Linked DNA regions of Tribolium castaneum. The protein of the gene in region 1 purifies or fractionates together with the protein of each later gene. This does not show direct contact. Links are inferred from orthologs where the notes say so. Each region holds a gene or a part of one and is shown in the gene's direction. Other genes may lie near its edges.

Region 1 (6,162 bases):
TCCCGACTTACCAAATTTTAGCCTTCAAAAGGTCTAAACTTAAATGTTTTTGAGATTACTTTAGGAGTAGATAACACCAACAAACGAATTCAAATAAGAATAAAAAGAGAAAACCACGAACACAACACGTAGCAGAATAATTCAAATTGGATATTGAAACATTTAAAATTGAAAAAACTTTTTGACATCGTTGAATGCAGTGTGACATTGCTCGCCAAAGGTTGCTTAATATTTTGGATTTTTGGATAAATTCGTGGATTTAATTTGAAATCACACTACCAAAAGATGGCATAAGTAGTTTCTATTAACGACCGTGCCACGTACCCCAAATTTACAGAAATCTGCATAGATAACGCACGTGGCGCCGCATGTTGATAGTATGATTTAATAAACCATTTCTCCTATGCCGCTTGACTAACCCTGGTCGTGGGTCAGGATTCAGTTATTTGATTTACTTTAATTTTAGACACAATCGTTGAAAATAAACATAATGTCAGACGAATTACATTTTACTTATAACATTTAATAAATATCAAGACAATCAAGACTTACCTGTTAATCGATGCACAACACGCTCACGACGCTCACACGCTGCTACAAGGTGTCAACTGTCAACCACAGAACAAGGGTTAGTTCAAACCGCTGCCAACGGTCGCACGCAAAAACCCTAACCCGGTCCCAAATCCGGGGAAATGAAAATTTCCGGGAAAAACAACCGGAACTTGGCAACAATAAATCAAGTGACGTTTCGTACTTGTCTTTTTTTCCAAAACAAATGTCATAGTCACAATGCGAGAAAATAAGTGCTAAAGATCGGTTCGTTTTCTCATAAGATGGAAAATCCTCTAACCAAAAGTGAGGAGAAGAAGTTCGGGTACCCCAAAGTACGAGATTCGGACGTTAAAAATGAAAAACCCAAAGTCGAAGTTAGGCGCTTGCAGTACGACCCTAACCCTAAGGTCGGGGACTGGAAAAAGACGTGCTCGCCCAGCTGTTGCCCCTCGTTATCGGGCGAAGAACGCCTGGTTTGTATAATTTGATTCGATTTTGGGACCAATTTTCAAAAACGCAACTTGGCCACACTGTAGGGCGGCGTTGCCGGGTTGTGCCCTGGCGCACTTTCCGCAAGTTTATCGAACAGCTGGTAGGATTACGTAATTTGCGATAATATCCAACAAATGTGCTTTGTTGTCCCGATTAGGGAAAAAAATCAGTGATAAGTGGTACAGGGACTTGGAAATAGGCACCAAGTGGGGTCGCTGATGTGGCAATGCCATCTAGGTATATTGTATCAGAATGGCACAAACTACGTAAATTTGTATTACAAGAAAACAAAATAACTTGTTTTTAGATGTTCACACCTTTAATAAATTTTTTTGGTAAAGTTGTCTTTTTCGCCTATTTTTTCTGTGATGTCCGAAAAGGGGTGATCAGGTAATAATCCGTTTTGACCTGATAAGATGCGGTGCCGAATTTCTAGGACTCGAACACGTAAAGAGAGGGTGCCCGGTATTTGGGGATTCAATAGTGCCCAATTTATGCACGCCTGTTATCATAACTCGCCTGTTTTGGTAATAATATTGTCCGATTTTGGGAAATAGAAAATAAAGATGCAATAAATGATAATTTACTGGACACCCTTCACAGAATTCTTGTGAAAAACATTTTAACAAAACACATGGGCGGTTTATGGTTTATGGTTTACGGTCCTTTTAAGCAAACGCCGCCTGATGCGCAAAATAGCTTTAAACCGTTTGTTGTCGGTGGAGAAAAGGAGAGCTAGGGATCATAAACTAAATGAGGGGTACGTACATTTCGTTCATGAAAAATTATTTAAAATTGGAACTCGTAGTAAACGATTCTACCGAAAATTCTTTTCACTTATCACACAGTTGTGTAATTATAATTAATGAAAACAGTGATAGTACCAAGTTGATTGTAGTCTGACTGTTCATGTAAAGCTCTAATAAATTGAGTATAAATGATAATCTGTTAGCAGGCCCGGTAATTCAGCCTGATTTATTTCCGATTTTAATTCAATTTCGGATATATTTTTTAACATTGTTCCGACAACTAAAAGGCCATAATTTTATTTTTGAAAAATGTCTTTTTTATTGTTGAATTGGTGGTCAAAAGGGCATTGTGTGACAAAACCGATTTCGGGGTGAAATGGGGCGATAGTGCATTTGCGGAGCTATAAATATTGAAATTAGGTGAAAAAGTGGGAAAAATTAAGAAGCAATTTGTGGTAAATAATTGAGTTTTTCGCTATTAGCAAAGTGACTTTCTTAAAATGTCATTTTTAAGAGGGTGTTTAGTGTTTTTTCGGATTTTTATTTTATTAAACGGTTTCAAAGCTGACAACCAAACATACATCTACGCAAATTGAAACGTATTTTGCTAGTGTGAAACTGGCTTCATGTTCGGGTTTCTTCGGAATTTCGAGGAGCTGGTTTGGGGAGCTGTCTTCACACAAATTTGTTTTGGGTTTTTCGTGTTGGAGTGTTGGCAGTTGAAAAACCGTTGACTTACGAAGTGACAATTCAAATTCGAACTTATCACAAGTTGAAATTGTGCAAAAGTGTTAAGTCGGAGTGAAGTGTTTTTGTTGTAAATATGTCCCAAAGGAAGGCCCCCGTGTGCCAAAACAAGGAGAACAACGTTCCGCGCGCCGCGGCGAAAAAGGGCCCCCCGGCGCAAAAGGGGGCTCTCTCCGAGAACAAGGCCCAGAAGGGGGCTGCAAGTGACACGGCTCAGGAGAGTTCGAAGGGGCGGCGTTGGACCTTGGCGGACTTCGATATCGGGAAGCCCCTCGGGCGTGGTAAATTCGGAAACGTGTACTTAGCTCGCGAAAAACAGTCGAAATTTGTCGTTGCGCTTAAAGTGCTGTTCAAAAGTGCGATCAAAGACTTCAATAACGAGCACCAAGTGCGGAGGGAAATCGAGATTCAGTCGCACTTGAGACACAACAATATTCTGCGAATGTATGGCTATTTTCACGACGAGTCGAGGGTCTACATAATACTGGAATACGCCCCCAATGGTAAGCCCCCACGTACAGTGGTCCAAACTGCTCAAAACCCGCCAGAAATTGGTGAAATCATTAAATTTCATGTGTTTTATTAACAAAAAAACACATTTAAATTGGGGCTCAATAAACAATGAATGAAAAACAAGAGTTATTCGGAAAAATCTTCTAAAAGAAGAGCCTTCTGAAAGTTGCAAACTAAGCATTTTTGAATGATTTCAGTAAATGGTTGAGAAAGATTTATAAAATTTGTGGGTTAGTTATTACATTAAGTTAAATGGGGAACAAAGTTACTACTAAAAGCTGTCTTAACTAAAATAAAACCATTAACTACTATTTTAAAAAAACGTCTTGAGGTCAATACATTGGATACGGAAAAGTGGCTGACTATTATAAACTAAATAAAAACAATTTAAAACAATAAAATTTGTTTTTTCCATTCCCAAAAAAAAATATTTTCAATGTTGAAAAATCTGGAATGACGAGAGTAAGCTTTGAATTATCAGTGTTAAGAAGACTTTAAACTAAAATTTTTAATTTATGGTGCACTGAATTTGAAGGCAAAAAAATGTTGGTTTTTGTTACCAAATTAAATGAAAATGTATTTTCACTGTTTATTTGTTATGTCAGTAAAACTATTTCGCATTGTTTTGTAATATTATATTATATGAAAGTAGATTTAATTTTTATACTTTTTTTTACGAAATTTATTTTGATAAAACTTTGTAAATCGGTAAAAAAAGTCATGTCATATATACGAGAAATTATTATATTGAAAGTTATTACTAAAGTTCGGATTCCTAGCATTTTGCTAATTAAGCTTTTCTTTTTCAAATGAACCAATTTTCTTAACTTTTATTTGTCAGTTTGGCTAAAAAACTATGCTTTTATGCCAAAAAGCGTTTTTTCTGCTATTTTTATGCTAAGGTTGATAATTCTCAAGTTTTTTCAGTGTTAATATTATATAATAGTTTTAATTTTTCAAACTAATGAACATTTTGAGACGTCTTGGCGAAAAGTTTGACGAATGAAATTCAACAAAGTTGAAAACAGAATTTTTAAAAAATCGTCCTCGAATTTTTTTTGTACTAACAATTTTTTTAATAAAGGTTTGTTTTTGTAAAATATTTGATAAATAAATTTTATTTTGAATAGCACTGAAGTTTTCTTTAAAAAATGAATTAAAAAACTAGTTTTCTCCATTCATTCGAATCAATATTTTCATTGATAAAAAATCTATGGAATGACAACAGAAACACCTAAGCTCGACGTTTTTGTGATTTTATAAAAAAAACAAAAAAAATGGTTTAGACTACAAAGTTGAATGAAAAATTTATATTTATGAGTTTTTTGACATATTATTTATTTGTTGTATTTAAATGTGTAATATTGTGTATAAAAGCAGATTCATTTTTCACTTTTTTATTACTAAATCTATTTTTGTTAGCTATATATTGTTATTATTCTTACTATTATTTTGGGTTTGAAAAAAATCAAGGTGGCTGCGCTATTTAGAATTTAAATAGTCTGTTTTTTGGCATTTATCAAAATCTAACGAAAAAAGGGACCTTTTAACACAAATATTTTTTTTCAATTAAAATTAAAATTTCGAGTTTTTAGTTAAAAAAAAGTGAAAAAGAACATTTTTTTGACCTAATTTTTTCTGGTCGAAGACGTGCTTCATGTTTTCCTAAAAACGAAGAATTTTAAATTTGTTGATAAAAAACTAATTAAAATTAAATAATGTTCATTTTTTTAATTGTCCGCCAGTTAAAGCGAATTCACAACAAAAAAATAAAAAATTAATCGTTAAAAAAAATAAAAAAATTACGTGATTTTAAACATACAGAATTTTAGACAAAAAGGTAAATTTTTACCATAGAAACGTGATTAAAAAATTACCATCTTTTTTGTTTTTTGTAAGTTTGAGCGCATAGAACATGCTTAAACATTCAAAAGAACTCAAGAATAATGTAGTTTTCAACATAAATACCTGTGGGTGATTTTCTAGCCAGTTTGAACAAAATATCGCTAAAAAAATTACGTTGTCTTCCAATTTTTTTGAAGAAAAACATCGCGGTATTTTTGTTCCAATACAGTTTTTTTAGGAATTTTTTGCATCGTTGTTTTAGAAATCAATTAATTAAATTAAAAGAACATTTCGGGGGTGTTTTCCCCACTTTGGACCACTGTGCCCCCACTTTCCACCTTGATAACCCCCCTGTTTAGGCACATGCTACAAGGCGCTGCAAGCAGCCCCCAACAGGCGCTTCCCGGAGGAGACATGCGCCCGCTACATCCGCCAAATTGCGGACGCTCTCAGTTACTGCCACACGAAGAAAGTCATTCACAGAGACATAAAACCGGAGAACTTGCTACTTTGTGCCCAAGGCCAAATCAAAATCGCTGATTTTGGGTGGTCTGTACACGCCCCCTCCTCCCGTAGGACTACTCTCTGTGGCACCCTTGATTACCTCCCGCCTGAAATGGTCGTGGGGCAAACACACAACGAAAAAGTGGATTTGTGGAGTTTGGGCGTTTTGTGTTTTGAATTTCTGACAGGGAAGCCCCCATTTGAAGCGCCCACGTTCGAGGAGACGTACCGGAATATCAGCAAGGCCTACTACAAGTTTCCGCCGTATGTCTCCGAGGGGGCGCAAGATTTGATTAGGAAATTGCTTGTAGTTAATCCAAATGAAAGGCTTGAGCTGAGTCAAGTGATGAAACATCCGTGGATTGTCTCGCACACAGAGGAGAAGAGTAGTCAATAATTGTGATTTTTATTTAAGATTAGACTAAACACTGTTTTGTGTTTTTTTCTAGACTGTTTTTTGCCATTTTATGTGTACATTTATTCTTTCATTTGGGTTAGTTTTTAATTATTATTATTTTAAATATAAGTTGAGAATGTTCATAAAACTAAATTATTTATTTGTTTACCTAAATCCGTAACAAATTTTACCGTTTTTTGGCACTAATCGCCGATGAAGTCTGTTTTGTTGGGTCGTATTTGTAAGTCTTGACAATGGGGCCACGTCCAGCTTTTTGAAATTGCATTTCGTCTATTCTTTGACGTTCCTCCAATTCGCGTGTGATTTTTAAGTTAGTCCACGCTGTAAAACACAAATTAAAAA
Region 2 (5,113 bases), on another chromosome or scaffold:
AACATGCCAACACTGACTGATTCAATTTTTTGATAATTTTTGTATAATTAAGAAATAATACAATACTTTAATTTTTTGAAAAATTTAATTTGTTATGTTACTCAAGTGTGCAATAAAAATGTTAACAAAATCTGTGTTTTATTACCCCAAAACAACTTTTTTTGTAAGTTTCATTGCAAATTTTGTTTAAAATAAATATAAAATGTTTTCATTTCGTTTAAAATGAAAATATTTTTTTTTATTTTAAACAATTTGCAATAAAACTTGTAAGATAAAAATAATAAAAAACAGAATATAAAAGGAATTTATTCAAACGTGGCGCTTTACCGTGGTAGTAACGCACTTCAGCACCAGAGGCGCTGTATTCTCGTGTTGCCAGTGATTTACTAGGGAATTATCACTTCTTAACCTTTACTGTTCTGTGATTTTACAAGCTCCGCGTTTTCACAACATATCAAGAGAAAATGGCTTTATCACCTCGTGAGTCAGGCAAACTCGTTGCTTCGCTTAGCAAAAACGTGAAAATCAAAGACGAAGGTGTGAAAAAACTGGGGGATTTGGTAAGTCCGTGCGTATCAGGCGAAAAAAGGCACATTTTAACTGTTATCTCCAGTTGGTTAGCGAGATCGAAAGCGGGAAATTGTCCAGTGAGAAGTTCAGTCAAGTGAAACTGCACCCAAAATCCGACGATCCCAAAGCCCTTGACTGGTTATTTGTCGTGGACACTCTGAATTTTTGCTTCTGGCACTTAGAAACCGAAGCTGGCTGGACTGTGGAGGGCTACACTGGTTATTTTGCCCTTTGTGCGGCTATTAATCGAGCCGTGAAGGAAAAAGTGGATATTTTGAACTCGAAATACTACTCTGAAGTGTCCGAAAAAGACCTTGCGAAAATATTCAGAAGCGACAACGATGTCCCAATTCCACTCCTCCAGGAACGCGTCAAATGCTTGCACGAAGTTGGGAACGTCCTTCTTGAAACTTTCGACGGTTCGTTTGAAAATTGCGTGAAAAAGGCTGACAAGAGCGCTGTGGCCCTTCTGGACCTAATCGTCAACAATTTCAAGTGCTTCAAGGACGAAGCGACTTACAAAGACAAGAAAATTGCGATTTACAAGCGGGCGCAGATTTTAATTGGCGACATTTGGGCCTGTTTCAAGAACGAAGGACTTGGGCACTTTAAAGATATCGATGAAATAACAATGTTTGCGGATTATAGAATCCCACAATCTCTCCTATATTTCGGGGTGTTTGAGTACAGCGAAGATTTGAAGAAGAAACTGCAAGACAACAAAATTCTCGAAAACGGGGAAGAGGACGAAGTGGAGATCAGAGCTTGCTCCATCCATGCGGTCGAGCTGCTAAAAGAACATGCCAATAAAAAACTAACTGATACGAAAATCAATGCCATTTTGATCGATCACTTCTTGTGGGACTTCAGACGCGAACATAACAAGGAAATCGTGGAGAAGAAGTTGCCGTTCCACAAAACGTTCTCCATTTATTACTAAATCGAACGACAATATCAAGTTAAAATTGGAGTTGACCGAATCAATGTGCTAATTTATTAGTAATTAATCGAAAATTTCAGGGAGCGGTTGGCCATGAAACTTTGATATGGCATTTTGGTGGTAGTCATGGTTACAATTGTTACAAACCGAACCGTACTTTTTCATTGCCAACTATGCTGTCATGTTTTATTTCATATCAGTAATTTTTAAGATTAATCGTGTCAATGTTTTTAAAGTTAAAGTATTAGATTATGATTGAAAGAATATTCTGGAATTTTATTTGCCCTCGTCTCCCTACCCATGATCCTCTGCCGACGTTTCGCGAAAGCCAGCCAGAGGGCGGAGGAGCAGCAAAGTGACGTTTGTTGTTTATTTCAAAAGTGCAAGTGTTTTATTGTTGTATTTTCTTGGAGGAATCAAAATTCGCATTGGCGTCATGGTCGATTACAGCAAGTGGAAGAATATTGAGGTAGTGAAGTCTGGGAGGAAAAAATGAGGTTAGGTGGTGCTTTGCAGATTTCCGACGATGAGGATGAGACGCATCCAAATATTGACACCCCTTCACTTTTCCGGTGGAGGCACCAGGCCAGAGTTGAGCGCATGGAAGAAATGAAGAAAGAAGCGGAAGAAATCCAGATAAAGAGGGAGGAAAATGCTAAGAAGGTCTCGCAAGCCAAGCAGAAGCTGGCGGAAGCCGAGAAGGCCGGAGATGCGAATTTGAGGGAACTTAAGGACGCTCTGGCCGCGCTGGAGAAGGAAATGGAAGCGATTAAGAAGAAACAGGAAGAACACGAGAAGAAAGAAAAAGTTTGTACGAATGTTAGTTCTTCTAATGTTTATTTAGTGATTTACAGATGGCCCCGTGGAATGTGGACACAATTAGTCAGCCAGGTTTTGCAAAGACTGTTATTAATAAGAAAGCTCCGAGACCGAAGGACGAACAATTAACGGATGAAGAGAAGGAAAGTCGCATGAAAAATTTTGTAAAAGAAAACGAGAAGAATTTGAAGCACTTTGGAATGTTGCGACGTTATGAAGACTCTCGGGCTTTTCTCAGGGACCACCTTGAATTGGTTTGCGAAGACACAGCTAATTACCTCGTCATCTGGTGCATCAATTTAGAAATGGAAGAGGTAAGATTGTGGCAAAAAATGTATATTGGCAACACTGAGTTGTTGGGGTAAATTATGTATTGTTCTTTTAATTAGAAACATGACCTTATGGAGCACGTGGCGCACCAGACCATCTGCATGCAGTACATCCTAGAACTAGCCAAACAATTAGACTACGACCCTCGCGGCTGCGTGGACCCCTTTTTCTCCAAAATCCAAATAGCTGATCCTCTTTACAAAAAATCGTTTGACGATGAATTAGACCAGTTTAAGGAGAGGATCAGACGACGCGCAGCTGAGAAGATTGAAGAGGCCATAAAAGAAGCAGAGGAGGAGGAGAGGAAAGCGAGGATAGGGCCAGGAGGGTTAGATCAGCTTGAAGTCTTGGAAAGTCTTCCCGAGAATTTACGAAAATGTTTCGAGACGCAAGACATCCAAATGTTGCAAGACACAATCAAGGAAATGGATGAAGAAGAGGCCAACTATCACATGAAGAGGTGTGTTGCTGCGGGTCTTTGGATACCTGATGCCAAAAAGAAGGAAGAAGAAGAAGCTGGGCCTTCTGATGAGCAGTCAAAACCCTAAAGTCACTTGCTTTACAATTTTTGTTATTTAGCCTTTATTTCCTAAGAATGCAAATTTATTGTATTAATTTATTAGGAATGCTTGAAGATTAATAAATTTCTTTACTTTATAAACTTGACGTAAACTTTCTTATACCCATCCCAATTCCCGCATTTTCTCTCACTGACTTAAATTAATCATCCACTTGAAAAAAATAATAGCCAAACGAATTTACAGTTTCAGTGGCAGATATAACAATCAACGTTATTTAAAAAAAATATTTGGTAAAACCCGTTCTTTTGAAAAAGCGTAGTTACTTTTGTTCACCGATGTTGGTGTATTTTCGCGTTTCCCATATTTCGTGTTCTGACGCATCACTTGACGTGTCGCAACAACAAGACACGACAACACCACATAAAAAATTGAAAATTTAACCAGTCAGTTAAGATTATGGCCCCAAAAGAAAGCAAAGAAAAGGATGATAAGGTACAGTTTAAATGAATGAACACGTAATTTGCACGCTTGTTATTTAAATACGGAAAAAATTGTAAATTTGGCTTCATAACCTATTGTTGCAGCCTGTTAAAATAAATAAATGGGACGGTTCAGCTGTGAAAAATGCCATAGACGATGCAGTAAAAGAAGTGAGGTCCCGTGACTCCCTGTTCATTGTTATAATAGTATTTTTTAGGTACTTACTAAAAAGTATCATTACGTAGAAAATTTTAAATTGATGGATGGGCGCCTTGTAATTTGTAGTATTGCAGTAGGAGTTGCCATGTTTGCTTTACTGTGGGATTATTTATATCCCTTTCCACTTTCTAAGTAAGAGTCTCAAATAATCCACCCCTCTGTATAAATACTTGCGTTTTTTCAGACCTATATTAATATTTTGTGTGGGCACTTATTTCACAATGATGGGCATTCTAACGTTGTACACCATGTATGTAGAAAAGGGTATTTTCGCTGTATGTATGCAGAAGAAGGACGGTCAGAAAAGCGATAACATATGGGAAGCCAGCTCATATTTAAAAAAGTGGGTCCCAAAGATAAAACCACAGTAATTTATTATTTATTTTAGATACGATGATAAATATAAACTGGTTCTCACGTTTAAAGATGGTAAAACTGGGGCTTTCCGGGAGACAAGCTTAAAGAAAAGTGTTGCAAATTTTGTGGACGTCAACGGTAGTGTAGTGCACGAAATTGTGGAAAATGAGGTTTCAAAGCTGCACAATTCTCTGTTGAATGAACGTAAAGATAAATAGCTCTCGAGATTGTCATGTCAGCAAGGCATTTATTGCATAATTCCACTTGAGTTGTAAATTTCTCTAATACATTACTTTTTTAGTACAATGATTATTTTATTTTTGTTCATAAACGCCTTTCTACGCACAAAACAAAAACTGTTTGCGATTTATCGGAAACGCACAGCCAAAAAATTTTCAACATAACTGTATCGATTTCTATTGAAAAAATAAAAATTATGGAGGTAAAAATCGTGTTTCTGTTCCCATTGAAAAATTCCACAAAAATCTAAACCTTCCTCCCAAGACAATAAAAAAGAGGACATGACTACAGTAGAACCTCGTTTATCCGCGTAGCAGTGCACAAGACAATTTTATAATTATTTAATTTACTACCTAAGAAGTTTAATAAGGTGATACAAAGTATTTGCGTTTAAGGTGAATTACTGCATTTATATAGTTTGTAATGTTGATTTATTTAAAAAGTTTGTGTTAAAATACCTGCAAAAGACGGTCGGTACCCAGGGCCTTGGTGGCCGAGTGGTATAAGCGCCACTTTCGGCGGTGGAGGTCGGGTGTTCGCACCCGGATCACGGCAACAATTTTTCTGAGAAAAAAAGTGTAGAAAAGGTAAGTGAAACAACACGAGAACAAAAATAAGAGATTGAGAGAACATACAA
Region 3 (5,896 bases), about 580 kb from region 1:
AATAACCGAAAGTTTATGTCAAAAATATGTCTATTTAATTTAAAATTGTCTGAGGATCCCAAATCAGTCATCATTTTTGTTGTAATTTTGGAAATTTTTTGTAGAAAAATTATTAGTTGAACATTTTAAAATTTTACTTGTTCTTTCGTAACGCATGTAAAGTATGTATCATTTATTAAAAATATACCCTTTATTTATTTGTCAAAATCCCTATGCCATCTGAAGTTTTTCTTCCATGAAGTTTATATGTTTTAAAATAGAAATTTTAATTGAAATTTAAAAACTAAACAAAACGAATGAAAAACGAACAATTACTAAAAACATTAATTTTTTAACGCCCATGACAAGTGTTGAAATTAGTATTTATTTAGCTGCAAGTTATTAACCCACCACAATATTGTCAACTGAAAGTCCTACTTCTCTACGATTTTTAGTTTTTCTGTAATTAATTTAAAAAAGCGTATTTCCGTCAAAAAATCAAATTATTTCAAAATATATTAGTTTGTATTGTTTGAAACACCCTGTATATTTGAGAATAATTTTAGGTCAGTCAAGGTGTTGGTATTACGGTTTTTGGAAAAAATATATTTTTCAATAAATTATTTAAAGGTCAGTTATGGACTTTTTCAACTCGGTAGGATATCTTCCTTCTGGATAATGTTAGAAAATTATTTTTTTGCAAAAGATACGTCAGTTAATGTAGTTTCAAACGTACATACATACACAAGCTCGAGTTTTGGCAAAATAAAATTTTGAAAATTAAATTTTTCTTGTAAATTGTCGTGAAATTTTAGAAATGCGAGATTTTTTTATTTCAGAAGAAGAAAATTATGAAAAACTATCCAAAAATATTGAACTATTTTAAATAAATAAATGATTGATTTATTAACCAACAGGCCTGCCTAAGCCCAAATAAAGGTTAATGTTCAGTGAATATACATCAAGTTACGAAAATACAGTAAATTTAATTTCAAGTACAACACCTTTAATACTGAACAAAAACGCTTTATTTTTATGAAAACCTACGTAAGATGATCAGAGAAATTGATTAGCATTGAAAAAACAGTAAAATTTTTGATAGTTTTCAACTTATCAACGAATAAATCCTGTATTATAGAATTTAAAAGTTACAATAAAATATACTACTATAAACTTTATAATAGACTTACTTCTCTGTTCAAATCATTGTGGTAAGATTGGTAAACTTAATCATTATTTTCATTAAAAACCATTTAATTGTTAAGTTAAAGTTAATAGTGATGCCATTTTTTGTTTAACTAATTTTATCGATGTTTTTGAAGTTGTTTGAATTTGCTGTTTAATTAATTTTGTTATCAAATCCCTTGAAAATACATGTACAGGGTGTCTCACGAGGGACACGGATTAAGCAAAAAAAAAGATCTGTATTTTTTATTTTTTTAAACGTTTTTTGTGGTATTATAAGCCTCCAAAAGTTACCCAAAAATTCATATTTTTATCTTTAAAAATACTTTTTTTTATAAAGTTTTTTCCAAAAACTATTTAATCATTTATATCAGAAATTATTTCGGCTTTGGTATTTCTAGAATTCTACATTAACTGTAGAAATAATGAACTTTCTGACTTTATCCAGAAGAAAGATCCGATATAAACCCAAAATTTGCCCAATTTCAAAGTTTCAAACTTGTGATTTGAATTCATCTGAAAATTTCCTATAAGAAATGAGCGTTTTTTTGAAGTGCTTGCCCCCCGACTAGTTGGAGTTGTTTTGTTATTAACATTCCATCAAGTTTTTTACAACTTTGTTTAAAAACACGAATTTGACTGAGGTTTTTAAACTTAAGCTTAACTCTTGTTGTTTTCATAAAGAGTTTTTCAATCTAGTCAATTTGTTTCGTTTTTACTTTTCAGGGAGTGTATGTTAACATTTAACACGATGCTCGTCACAAATTAACTCTCGCTTGTAGATAGTAGGTTTGAGTTACGACACATTTGGAGTAATAAATGTATTTATTGTAACATTCCTGTACCTATTTGTTGTAAATACAAGCAAAAATAACACCCGGACTTTCATTCCCAAAAGTGAGATTATGGACATTGGTGGCCAGTTTTTGGGCAATTTTGACAAAAAAAAGTGCGTTTTGGCTCACCTGAGACTGCCTTCTGTCCCCTTGGTGCGTTTTTTCTTAAATTATTTTCAAAATTTGAAAAATGTACACAACTGCGCCCAATTCACTGCGCAACTATTTTACCGATTTTTGCTCGGAAGAATCATAAGTCCGAAAATATTTAAACAATTGTGTTTTTTTTTAAATTTGTTTGCCCTCCAGGTAAATACTTATACCAAATAATTTAATAATTGAGTCAAGTGGTACAAAATTAATAAAAGAACAGGCAAAAATGTGGTTTCGAACAAATCGCCACACGGTTAGTTAGCGTCTTCGGTCATGGGCACTTTCCGCCGCATTGTAAACCCACACGTCAACACAATTTTTTGACATTTCTCTTATTTAAACGAAAATTAATTTCTTTTGTATAAAACATGTCTCAGTGTTGACTTTGCACACCTCCACAGTCCGCCGTCTCCCCAATTCACCCACTGCCCCAAAATGGCAAGTCCCCGAACCCGCCGCGTTTTGCAAGAACTCAAGCCCCACAACGAGAACGATGTAAGTAAAATGGGGTCATTTCCGGCCTTTGGCCTTCTGGGCCCCCCTTTCTAACCCGTTGTCTTGGCAGAAATGCTTCGAATGCGGCACGCACAACCCCCAGTGGGTCTCCGTCACCTACGGCATATGGATCTGTCTCGAGTGCTCCGGCAAGCACCGGGGGCTGGGGGTGCACTTGTCTTTCGTCCGCTCGGTCACGATGGACAAGTGGAAGGACATAGAGTTGGAGAAAATGAAAGTGGGGGGCAACCGGAACGCGCGAGTTTTTTTCGAAGCGCAGGACGATTGGGACGATCATATGAGCATCCAGCAGAAGTACAACACGAAAGCGGCCGCTCTTTACCGAGACAAGATCGCGGCTTTGGCTCAGGGGAAGGCCTGGGATGAGAAATCGTCACCGGCTCAGAACTACACAGGGAGTTTGATTAGCAACACTAGTAGTTATAATAACACAAGGTGCGTTAAAATGATTTGCAACCACAGAATGTATCAAATATATTTCAGAAAAGGTGAATAATTAATTTTCTTTACAAAAGATTTTCTGAAATATATTTCATATTTTCTGAAATACAAATTGAAAAAATGCCGCTTGGGAGTTTGATTAGCAACACTAGTAGTTATAATAATACAAGGTGCTTTAAAATGATTTGCATCTACACCTTTTCCAATTGTTATTCAGAATAAAAAAATATAAAAAATAAAAAAAAATTAATAAAAGTTATCACCTTTACAAATCGGTCATTTTTTAAAGTGTCTCAAAATCAAATAAAACCGATTCTATCTTATAGATTTTGATGTGCTCTTTCCGATCTAAAAAAGCGTTTTCTCCTAGCTCTTTTAGTTTGGCCGTAATCGGCGTTTGAAAATTGAAAATTTTTTTGCGAGATATCGCCTTGAGTCCTGTGCCATTTTGTAGAGTTTTGTATTCCGGTTGTCCTCCATTTTTCCGTTTCTCGATATCTTTAATAGTTTCGCCGTATTTGGCGGTTGAAAATTGAAAAAAAGTGAAAATGGAAACCTTTTTTTGCGTTTTTCTTGGAAACTGTAAGACTTAAAGCAACGAACAAAAATCCATCTGATAGCGCTTATTTTTCTCTATTTTTTCGTCCAAACTCGGAGCCGCTCCGGGCAACGGTTCCTGCTACAGAGGCGATCAATGTTTTTCACTAAAATAATTCATAAAAAAAAATTAAAAGTCGTAGAACAATGCGGTTTGTTCGATTGAATTCTACGGCCCATTTTACATAATATATCAATTTTTCACAAGAATAAAAAATTTAAAATTATTTGCCTAAATTTAGCGTAGCGGTATTTATGGTGAACAGTTTTATTCAACAAAAAAATTCATAACTCGAAAACTAAAAGTCGTAGAGCAATGCGGTTTGTTCTATTGAATTCTGCGGCTCATTTTCTGTATTATACCAGCTTTTCACGAGATTTAAAATTTTCAATTTTTTTGCTAAAATTTCCTGAGCAAAATACAAGTACCTTCAAAGAGGTGAAAAAAATTTTTTTTAAACTCACTCCAGTAAATTTTTATGGACTTCTACATGTCTTAACAATCCACAAAAGTTGTTAAAAGTCCACAAAAAGTCCATATGTTCGAATTTTTGATGTTTGATTTTTCAATTTTTGTCGCGAATTTTGTCGATTTCCGGTACCCTGATCATTTATCAAGCAATAACGTCGGAACTATTATAGATAACTCTATGATGTGTACTATTTTTGGAAAGCTCTTTTAATGATCTATCATTTGCAAAAAAGATTATTGTTGTCCGACTTATAGTTTTCGAGAAAATGCAAATAAAAGCAAAAATTAGATCATGTAATCAAAAATTCATAACTAAAAAACTATTGGGAATTTGGCGCTTTTTTTGATTCCAATCGATTCCTCGGATCATTTTGCATAGGTATGAATCAAAATAGTTCCACTTTTTAGAATAGTTTAGCCGTAAATGAGAAAATAAAAAAAATTAAAAAAAAGTTAACACCCCGGGGCCCCCCTTAGAAATCGGTCAATTTTTGAAGTGTCCTAAAATCAAATAAAACCGATTCTATCTTATAGATTTTGATGTGCTCTTTCCTATCTAAAAAAGCGTTTTCTCCTAGCTCTTTTAGTTTGGCCGTAATCGGCGTTTGAAAATTGAAAATTTTTTTGCGAAATATCGCCTTGAGTCCTATGCCATTTTGTAGAGTTTTTTATTCCGGGTGTCCTCCATTTTTTTGTTTCTCGATAACTCTAATAGTTTCGCCGTAATTGGCGGTTGAAAATTGAAAAAAATGGAAAATGGAAACCTTTTTTCGCGTTTTTCTCGGAAACTGTAAGACTTAGAGCAACGAACAAAAATCCATCTGATAGCGCTTATTTTTCTCTATTTTTTCGTCCAAACCCGGTGCCGCTCCGGGCAACGGTTCCGGCTACAGAGGCGATCAAAGTTTTTCACTAAAAAAATTTATAAAAAAAAAACTAAAAGTCGTAGAGCAATGCGGTTTGTCCCATTGAATTCTACGACTCATTTTACATAATATATCAATTTTTCACAAGAATAAAAAATTTAAAATTTTTTGCCTAAATTTAGCGTAGCGGTATTTATGGTGAACAGTTTAATTCAACAAAAAAATTCATAACTCGAAAACTAAAAGTCGTAGAGCAATGCGGTTTGTTCCATTGAATTCAGCGGCTCATTTTCTGTATTATACCAGCTTTTCTCGAGATTTAAAATTTTCAATTTTTTTGCTAATATTTTCTGAGTAATACACACTTACCTTCAAAGAGGTGAAAAAAAATTTTTTTTAAACTCACTCCAGTAAATTTTTATGGACTTCTACATGTTTTAACAACCCTCAAAAGTTGTTAAAAGCTCACAAAAAGTCCATATATTCGATTTTTTGATGTTTGATTTTTTCAATTTTCGTCGCAAATTTTGTCGATTTTGGGTACCCGGAACATTTCTCGAGCAATAGTTCCGGAACTATTAGAGATAACCCTATGATGTGTACTATCTTTGGAAAGCTCTTTTAATGATCTATCATTTACAAAAAAGATTATTGTTGTCCGACTTATAGTTTTCGAGAAAATGCAAATAAAAGCAAAAATTAGATCATGTACACAAAAATTCATAACTAAAAAACTATTGGGAATTTGGCGCTTTTTTAGATTCCAATCGATTCCTCGGATCATTTTGCATAGGTATGAATCAAAATAAATCCACTTTTTAGAATAGTTTAGCCGTAAATGAGAAAATAAA
Region 4 (6,093 bases), on another chromosome or scaffold:
TAGCACAAGAGGGTAGAGGGTGGTTTGGGCCGACAAAGGCCCAGAATTGGGAGCAGTAGTATTAGTAAGTTAGTAGTAAGGGAACCCTGTTGACGGAAGACAAAATAATTTGTTATTGTTAGAATGTTAGAAAATATTGTTATTGTTAGAAGGTGGTGTTTTAATGCGAATAAACATACAGTTTTTTAAATGTGGACTGTATGTTTATTGCATTAAAACACCATCTTCCAACAATAACAACTTTATTTTGTCTTCTGTCAACAGGGTTCTCTTACTGCTAACCTACTAATACTATTCGCCCAACTCTGGGCCCTTGTCGCGCCAAATCACCCCCTACCCTCTTACGCTAAAAGTGGGGTAGAATTCTTGTTTAAATTAAACTGGCTTAAAATTAAAGACCACTACGTACTATGACTAAAAATTTTTAAAATAAAGTTACCTCTAACTCAAAAACTATATTAGATATTTTGAGTTAATAAATATCGAAATCTTTTAATATGAACAAGATAGTACACGTATTTCAACAAAACTGACTTCAGGGAAAAAACGACTGATTTCAGAATAGGGGTTGATAGGCAAACATTTTCTGTCGCAATAACCCCCTAAAGTGTGACAACATATTTTTGTAATAACCTTGTACAGTATATTAAAATTCGCATACAAACATGCATATAAATATAAATACGTATGAAATTTAAAAGTGCATTCTCGCTGACGTTTTGGCGCGCCGTTTGCTGATTGGCTAAAAGTAACATAGTTTTGACGCCTCATAAAAAAACTAAATTGGTTGTTGATTTCCAGAGCCGGCTTTAATCGCAAAATCGAACGTGATCCTCGACGTGAAGCCCTGGGATGACGAAACCGACATGAAAGAGCTCGAAAACCAAGTCAGGAAGATTTCATCGGACGGCCTCCTCTGGGGGGCCGCCAAACTGGTCCCTTTGGCTTACGGCATCCACAAATTGCAAATCTCGTGTGTTGTTGAAGACGAGAAAATTTCAATTGACTGGCTACAGGACGAAATCACAGCAATTGAAGACTACGTCCAGAGTGTGGATATTGCGGCCTTCAACAAGATCTAAGCGACCCTTTGTACTTTTTTATTTAAATAAATAAAGTGGCCCCGGTTTCATTTCCAAATAAATATAGTTAATTTTTATCTGTGTTTTATTAACCATTTCGTTTTTTTTTTATTTTTCCACATATTAGTATCGACTTTGCAGTCAATTGTGATTTGGCACAAGCATGGCTCTTCTTAGGAAACTAGTGCCTTACTCTATGAGAACTCATAGCAATAAAAAACTGTCAAATAAAAAAAAAATCATTTCTAATAGCAATTAAAATGTGTTGAATAAAGTTGTGTATAAACATTAATAAATTGTGAACGGTGTCTTTAAATGCCAGATTCATTGCTGACGACTAAACATATTTCGACTATTCTACACATTAACGGATCAAGAAAAAAAAATGTACATAGTTTCCCCATCTAAGAATTCTACTTTGAAGACACAGAATTAAAGCAAAGTCAAGCCGCAGAAAAAACACTTTTATTTTTTGAAATTCGAGAACTTCAAAATACGAGTGTGCTAAAAAGCTTATTTAAGCAGTTAGGCACGCTTTCTATCTACCAAAAAAAGTGTTTATCACTCATTACCACATAATAAAATATAAGTACAACAACTTTTCTATAAAAGCATTTTGCAAAAGTATTCATTATTTTTACTATTTCCCTCCTTTCCTGTAATAATTGATTCGCCTTTTGGGGGCCATTCTGAACACTGTAATGAATTTTTAAAGATAAAGTTTGCGAAATCGGGAAATTTTAAAGAATCTTTAAAAATTCATTAAAGTTCCAAGGGGTACTTTATGATTTTTTTACAGTCGAAGGCCCTATCGAAGAGCTTAATTTCCTGCAAAAATAAAGAAAATTGCAGGATATAAAGTGGGTGAAGAAAATAAAGTTTGCAAAATAGAGGAACTTTATAAAAATTAAAAAAAATTGTTAAGGTCCCAAGGGTGTTTGTCCGAACATGATTTTTTTACAGTCTCCTGCAAAATAATCTCCTGTAAAAATAAGGAAAATTACATAATATAAAGTAGATGAAAAAAAAAGTTTGCGACATCGGAAAATCTTTAAGAATCTTTAAAAATCCATTTTTACAGTCGAAGGCCCTATCGAAGGACTCTTCTTTTACAAAGATAAAGAAAATTGCAGAATATAAAGGGGGTGAAAAAAAATCAGTTTGCATTGCTTGAATATGAGAATAAAAAATGCAGAAATTAAATACAGTTAAGTTTTAATTTGTAATAGAAACACATTATAATGGTCAGGAGATTTTCTACAAATGTGATATGCAAGTCAGCGTAACAGCTTATTGATGTTTTTATAATGATTTACGATTATTTTGATAAATTTTCTGGTGTGAATTGGCTGCAGAAAACGAGAATGGTGGGGAAATAAATTGTCTGGTCGACTGTAATATTGATGGTGCCAGCACCATTTTTGAACCATGCTCTTCACCGACATTCAATTTTTTTGGAGTGATTGTCAAAACGCTGTCAACTGTCAAAACCCGCTCGGTCTGTGTGGTGTTGTTTGAATCTAAACTGGTATTTTTGTGATAATTTGTATATTCCAAGTGAGAAAAGATGTATCCCGTTGGTGGTGAGACGTCTCTAAGTTAGTTCAATCATAATCAGCAATAATAGCAACGAAAAATGCTTAGATAAGTCCTCCGTTGTGTACAGCACCCCTACATGGCTTGTTATTTAAACGAAAATGTTTACACGCACACGTTTACCCCACGAGAGTATCAAGTGGAGCTGCTGGACAGCGCTAAGAAGCGTAATACAATCGTATGTTCGAGTGCGAGTTCGGCGAAAGCGTTTATAACAATAAAACTGCTGCAAGAGTTCTCCCACAAGATGCGGGTGCCCCACGGAAAGCAGGCTTTATTCGTGCTGGACGGCCCGAACGTCCCGATAATGACGTCGCACGTGAAGCTGCTGACCGATCTGACCGTTACGAGCATAGATAAAGAGGAAAACCCCCCGTCGTTGAAGGCAAGCAATGTGATTGTGACCACAGCCGAAGTCTGTGTGCTTCTATGTAAGAAGAACTTCGTTCATTTGGACAGTTACGCTCTAATCGTGATAGACTGCTTATACGGGGGGCAACAGTCGTTAGTTAGGGAAATTATGGCCCGGTATCAGGCGATTCAAGCGCCCAGACCTCGAATTTTGGGCCTGACTGCCGGTCTTTTGGGCTCCGAGATGCAACCCGATCGTCTAGAAGCCGAATTACAACGCTTAGAAAAATTACTTAGTTCCTCGGTAGACACTTCTAGTGAAATTCTCACGCTGATACGCTTATCTTGTCGGCCGCGCGAACGCATAGTCGAGTGCTTTAAACCCATTCCAAGCCCTTTGCAGGACAAAATCAAGGCCACTATAACCTCCTGTCAGGATTTCCTCAAGGACCACCGCTACGATCCGAGCGAAATCTACGACGATGACTTGCTCGAGGAATTCAAGCAAGTCCCAGACCCCAAGGAACAGCCTTTGAGCTTCTTCGACGACTTCCTCGAAATTCTGGACGATTTGGGGCCCTGGTCGGCCGACAGAGCCGCCTATGGCATGCTTATCAAGATCGAGAAGCTCAAAGTCAAAGTTCCTTACGAAAGACATTATTTATTGTTATGCGTTGCTTCATCAGTATTAGTTTCGATAAGGGCTCTCTGCGAACTCGAATTCCAAGACTACACAGATAAGGAAAAGGTGTTTCGTTTCTCAACGCCGAAAGTACTCAGATTTCTCCAAGTTCTAAAGCAGTTTAAACCGACCGGTGATAAGCCGGAAACTTGCGACAAACTACCAGACCTCAAAGACCCCAAGAAGGGAAAAGGGAAAAACTACAAAGGGCCCCGAAGGCCGTACATCTCGCGCGCGCAAAGCGACGAGATGCTCTGCGCACTCGTTTTCGTCAAAAATCGCTACAAGGCGGAGGCCCTCTTCGCCCTACTGTGTGTAAGTAAAGCAGACGTGTTCCTGTAAGGCTAAGGGGTTGCCCTAAAGTGCCATCGTGTTTTAATGCTGCCTGTCGCAAGGTTTTGCCACAGAACTAACACTAAAATCATAAATTGAAGAAGTACGTTTATTTTGTAACTTATGATCTGTTTAAAAACTACTTTAAAGCCCTTGATGTTTAACACAAAATTAAAACAGGAAAAATATCTGACAACTAATTGTTTGGACTAAAAAAAGGAAAAACTTTCTAGTAGTTCGTGATTTATTTTTTTTGGGGGTTTAATGAGGTCACGACTTCCCACTGGCATACTTTTAATGATCTGTCACAGAATTTTAGCGTTTTTTGTTGCAAATGTGTTCTATTTTATTTTTTAAATCTTTCACCACTGTGGAAGATTTTTAAGATAATTTTTCATTTTGTGCCAAAAAGACACAAGACATATTTAAATCAGGCCTGTTTGCTGACCAAGACATAACATTAATGTGAGAATTACCGAATCATTAGGTATTTCAAATGTTTTGCTGTGTGACAAGAAGCATAATTTTTTTGTATAATTTTTCAGTCGGTGGTAATAAATGTTTTTGCAAAATATATTTGATGGTGTTCATGAACTCAAACCCACACCGTTTACAAACATGTATCATACCATTAGCAAATTTAAGCGTACTTTTGAGACAGTCTTTGTGAAAGATCTCTTGGTTATTTATTACTCGTTTTTGAGAATTGAGAATTTCAGCAGTGAGTAATGTTTTTTTTTCTTGTTAATGATAGTCAATTTTGGTGTTAAATTTCTTAGCGTTTATATATTTAGTTGCCAAGCTCAAGTGGATATATTTACAAAAAACACTAGAGTATTTAGAGAACTGCATAAGTTTGAAGTGATTTTATTTTTCCTTTAAACGTGAAGCATTTACTTCTCTCACTTTTGCTAAGAAATTCTTTTCTTTTGAAAAGAAGAAGCAACGCAAGTCTAGTTTATCTTTAATAGTCTAATGCTATTTTTGTTTATATTTATCTGCTTGACTTCATGGTTTGAACTCGAGCTTCTATTCTTTGGGCAAAATCTTGCGATACTAAGCTGGTCCCCTCAGCCTTAGAAATTGATGGTTTGCCCGCTGATTGTTTGCATTGTGTCAGGTGATGTCAAAGAGCGACGAGGAGTATTGGTGGGTGTCGGTTTCGTTCTCCGTGAATAAGATCGCAGATCCGGTGCGCGAGCCTCGGGAGGCGGAATCCGAGCATAAAAGGCAGGAGGAAGTTTTGCGGAAGTACAGAAGTCACGAATGCAATATAATGATAGCAACGTCGGCGTTAGAACAAGGCTGTGATCTTCCTAAATGTAATTTAGTGATACGTTTCGATTTACCTCAGTCGTTCCATAGCTACATTCATAGTAAAGCGCGAGCGCGCGCAAACGAAGCTCATTTTCTTTTGCTAGCGAACGAGAACGAAGTTAGCGATTTTGTTGAGAATTTAGCCGAGTACAACGAAGTTGAGAATACGCTATTGAAGAGGTGTTACAGTTTGGAACCTGATAAGAATGAGGAGCTGGTTGCTGATGCTTCGTCTCTGCAATGTAGACCGTATCAGCCGTCGGCCGAACCGGGGGCTAACTCAGTTAGTCTCTCGAATGCTATAGCTTTAGTCAACCGGTATTGTGCAAAATTGCCCAGCGATACGTTCACCCGCTTGACGCCAATTTGGCATGAGGAGAAGGTCGAGAATGGTTATATTTGTTCCATTCGGTTACCTATCAATTCTCCGGTGAAGAAAACGGTGACAAGCCCTCCAATGATTAATACTTTACTGGCACGCAGAGCTGCAGCTTTTATGATTTGCCAACTCCTACACAAAGCGGGGGAATTAGACGATAATCTGCAACCAATAGGCAAAGAGAATTTCAAAGTGAACGAAGAAGACTGGAATAGCTCGGCGCTTGAAGAATCAGATGAAGAAAATCTAGACCCGAGACCGGGAACTACGAAACGGCGGCAGTATTACTATAAAAAAGTTGCCGATGCTCTACTTGACTGTCACCCAATTATTGGCCAACCGACTTACTTTTA

Evidence for each region.
Region 2: the proteins of aurA (region 1) and Cdc37 purify together in Homo sapiens (affinity purification with mass spectrometry; 3 studies listed by BioGRID and IntAct, with this or other methods). This does not show direct contact. The link is inferred for Tribolium castaneum from reciprocal best matches to the Homo sapiens genes AURKA and CDC37.
Region 3: the proteins of aurA (region 1) and ArfGAP1 purify together in Homo sapiens (affinity purification with mass spectrometry; 3 studies listed by BioGRID and IntAct, counting the BioPlex papers as one, with this or other methods). This does not show direct contact. The link is inferred for Tribolium castaneum from reciprocal best matches to the Homo sapiens genes AURKA and ARFGAP1.
Region 4: the proteins of aurA (region 1) and Dcr-1 purify together in Homo sapiens (affinity purification with mass spectrometry; 4 studies listed by BioGRID and IntAct, counting the BioPlex papers as one, with this or other methods). This does not show direct contact. The link is inferred for Tribolium castaneum from reciprocal best matches to the Homo sapiens genes AURKA and DICER1.

What each region holds. Positions count from the first base shown.
Region 1 is NC_087394.1:2,111,247-2,117,408, forward strand, and holds aurA (aurora kinase A), read left to right. Parts: upstream 1-2,531; 5' UTR 2,532-2,616; coding exon 2,617-3,043; intron 3,044-5,257; coding exon 5,258-5,799; 3' UTR 5,800-5,925; downstream 5,926-6,162. Other genes in the region: mitochondrial inner membrane protein OXA1L, read right to left, coding at 5,987-6,141. UniProt on the Homo sapiens protein: Mitotic serine/threonine kinase that contributes to the regulation of cell cycle progression.
Region 2 is NC_087398.1:2,272,394-2,277,506, forward strand, and holds Cdc37 (hsp90 co-chaperone Cdc37), read left to right. Parts: upstream 1-1,819; 5' UTR 1,820-1,946; coding exon 1,947-1,979; intron 1,980-2,026; coding exon 2,027-2,317; intron 2,318-2,364; coding exon 2,365-2,643; intron 2,644-2,718; coding exon 2,719-3,207; 3' UTR 3,208-3,320; downstream 3,321-5,113. Other genes in the region: queuosine 5'-phosphate N-glycosylase/hydrolase, read left to right, coding at 465-560, 614-1,510; Spase25 (signal peptidase complex subunit 2), read left to right, coding at 3,637-3,672, 3,765-3,830, 3,878-4,011, 4,064-4,222, 4,268-4,454. UniProt on the Homo sapiens protein: Co-chaperone that binds to numerous kinases and promotes their interaction with the Hsp90 complex, resulting in stabilization and promotion of their activity. Inhibits HSP90AA1 ATPase activity.
Region 3 is NC_087394.1:1,533,267-1,539,162, forward strand, and holds the start of ArfGAP1 (ADP-ribosylation factor GTPase-activating protein 1), read left to right. Parts: upstream 1-2,442; 5' UTR 2,443-2,588; coding exon 2,589-2,648; intron 2,649-2,718; coding exon 2,719-3,104; intron 3,105-5,896. UniProt on the Homo sapiens protein: GTPase-activating protein (GAP) for the ADP ribosylation factor 1 (ARF1). Involved in membrane trafficking and /or vesicle transport.
Region 4 is NC_087403.1:8,546,697-8,552,789, reverse strand, and holds the start of Dcr-1 (endoribonuclease Dcr-1), read left to right. Parts: upstream 1-2,541; 5' UTR 2,542-2,665; intron 2,666-2,726; 5' UTR 2,727-2,757; coding exon 2,758-4,026; intron 4,027-5,164; coding exon 5,165-6,093. Other genes in the region: probable elongation factor 1-delta, read left to right, coding at 802-1,082. UniProt on the Homo sapiens protein: Double-stranded RNA (dsRNA) endoribonuclease playing a central role in short dsRNA-mediated post-transcriptional gene silencing.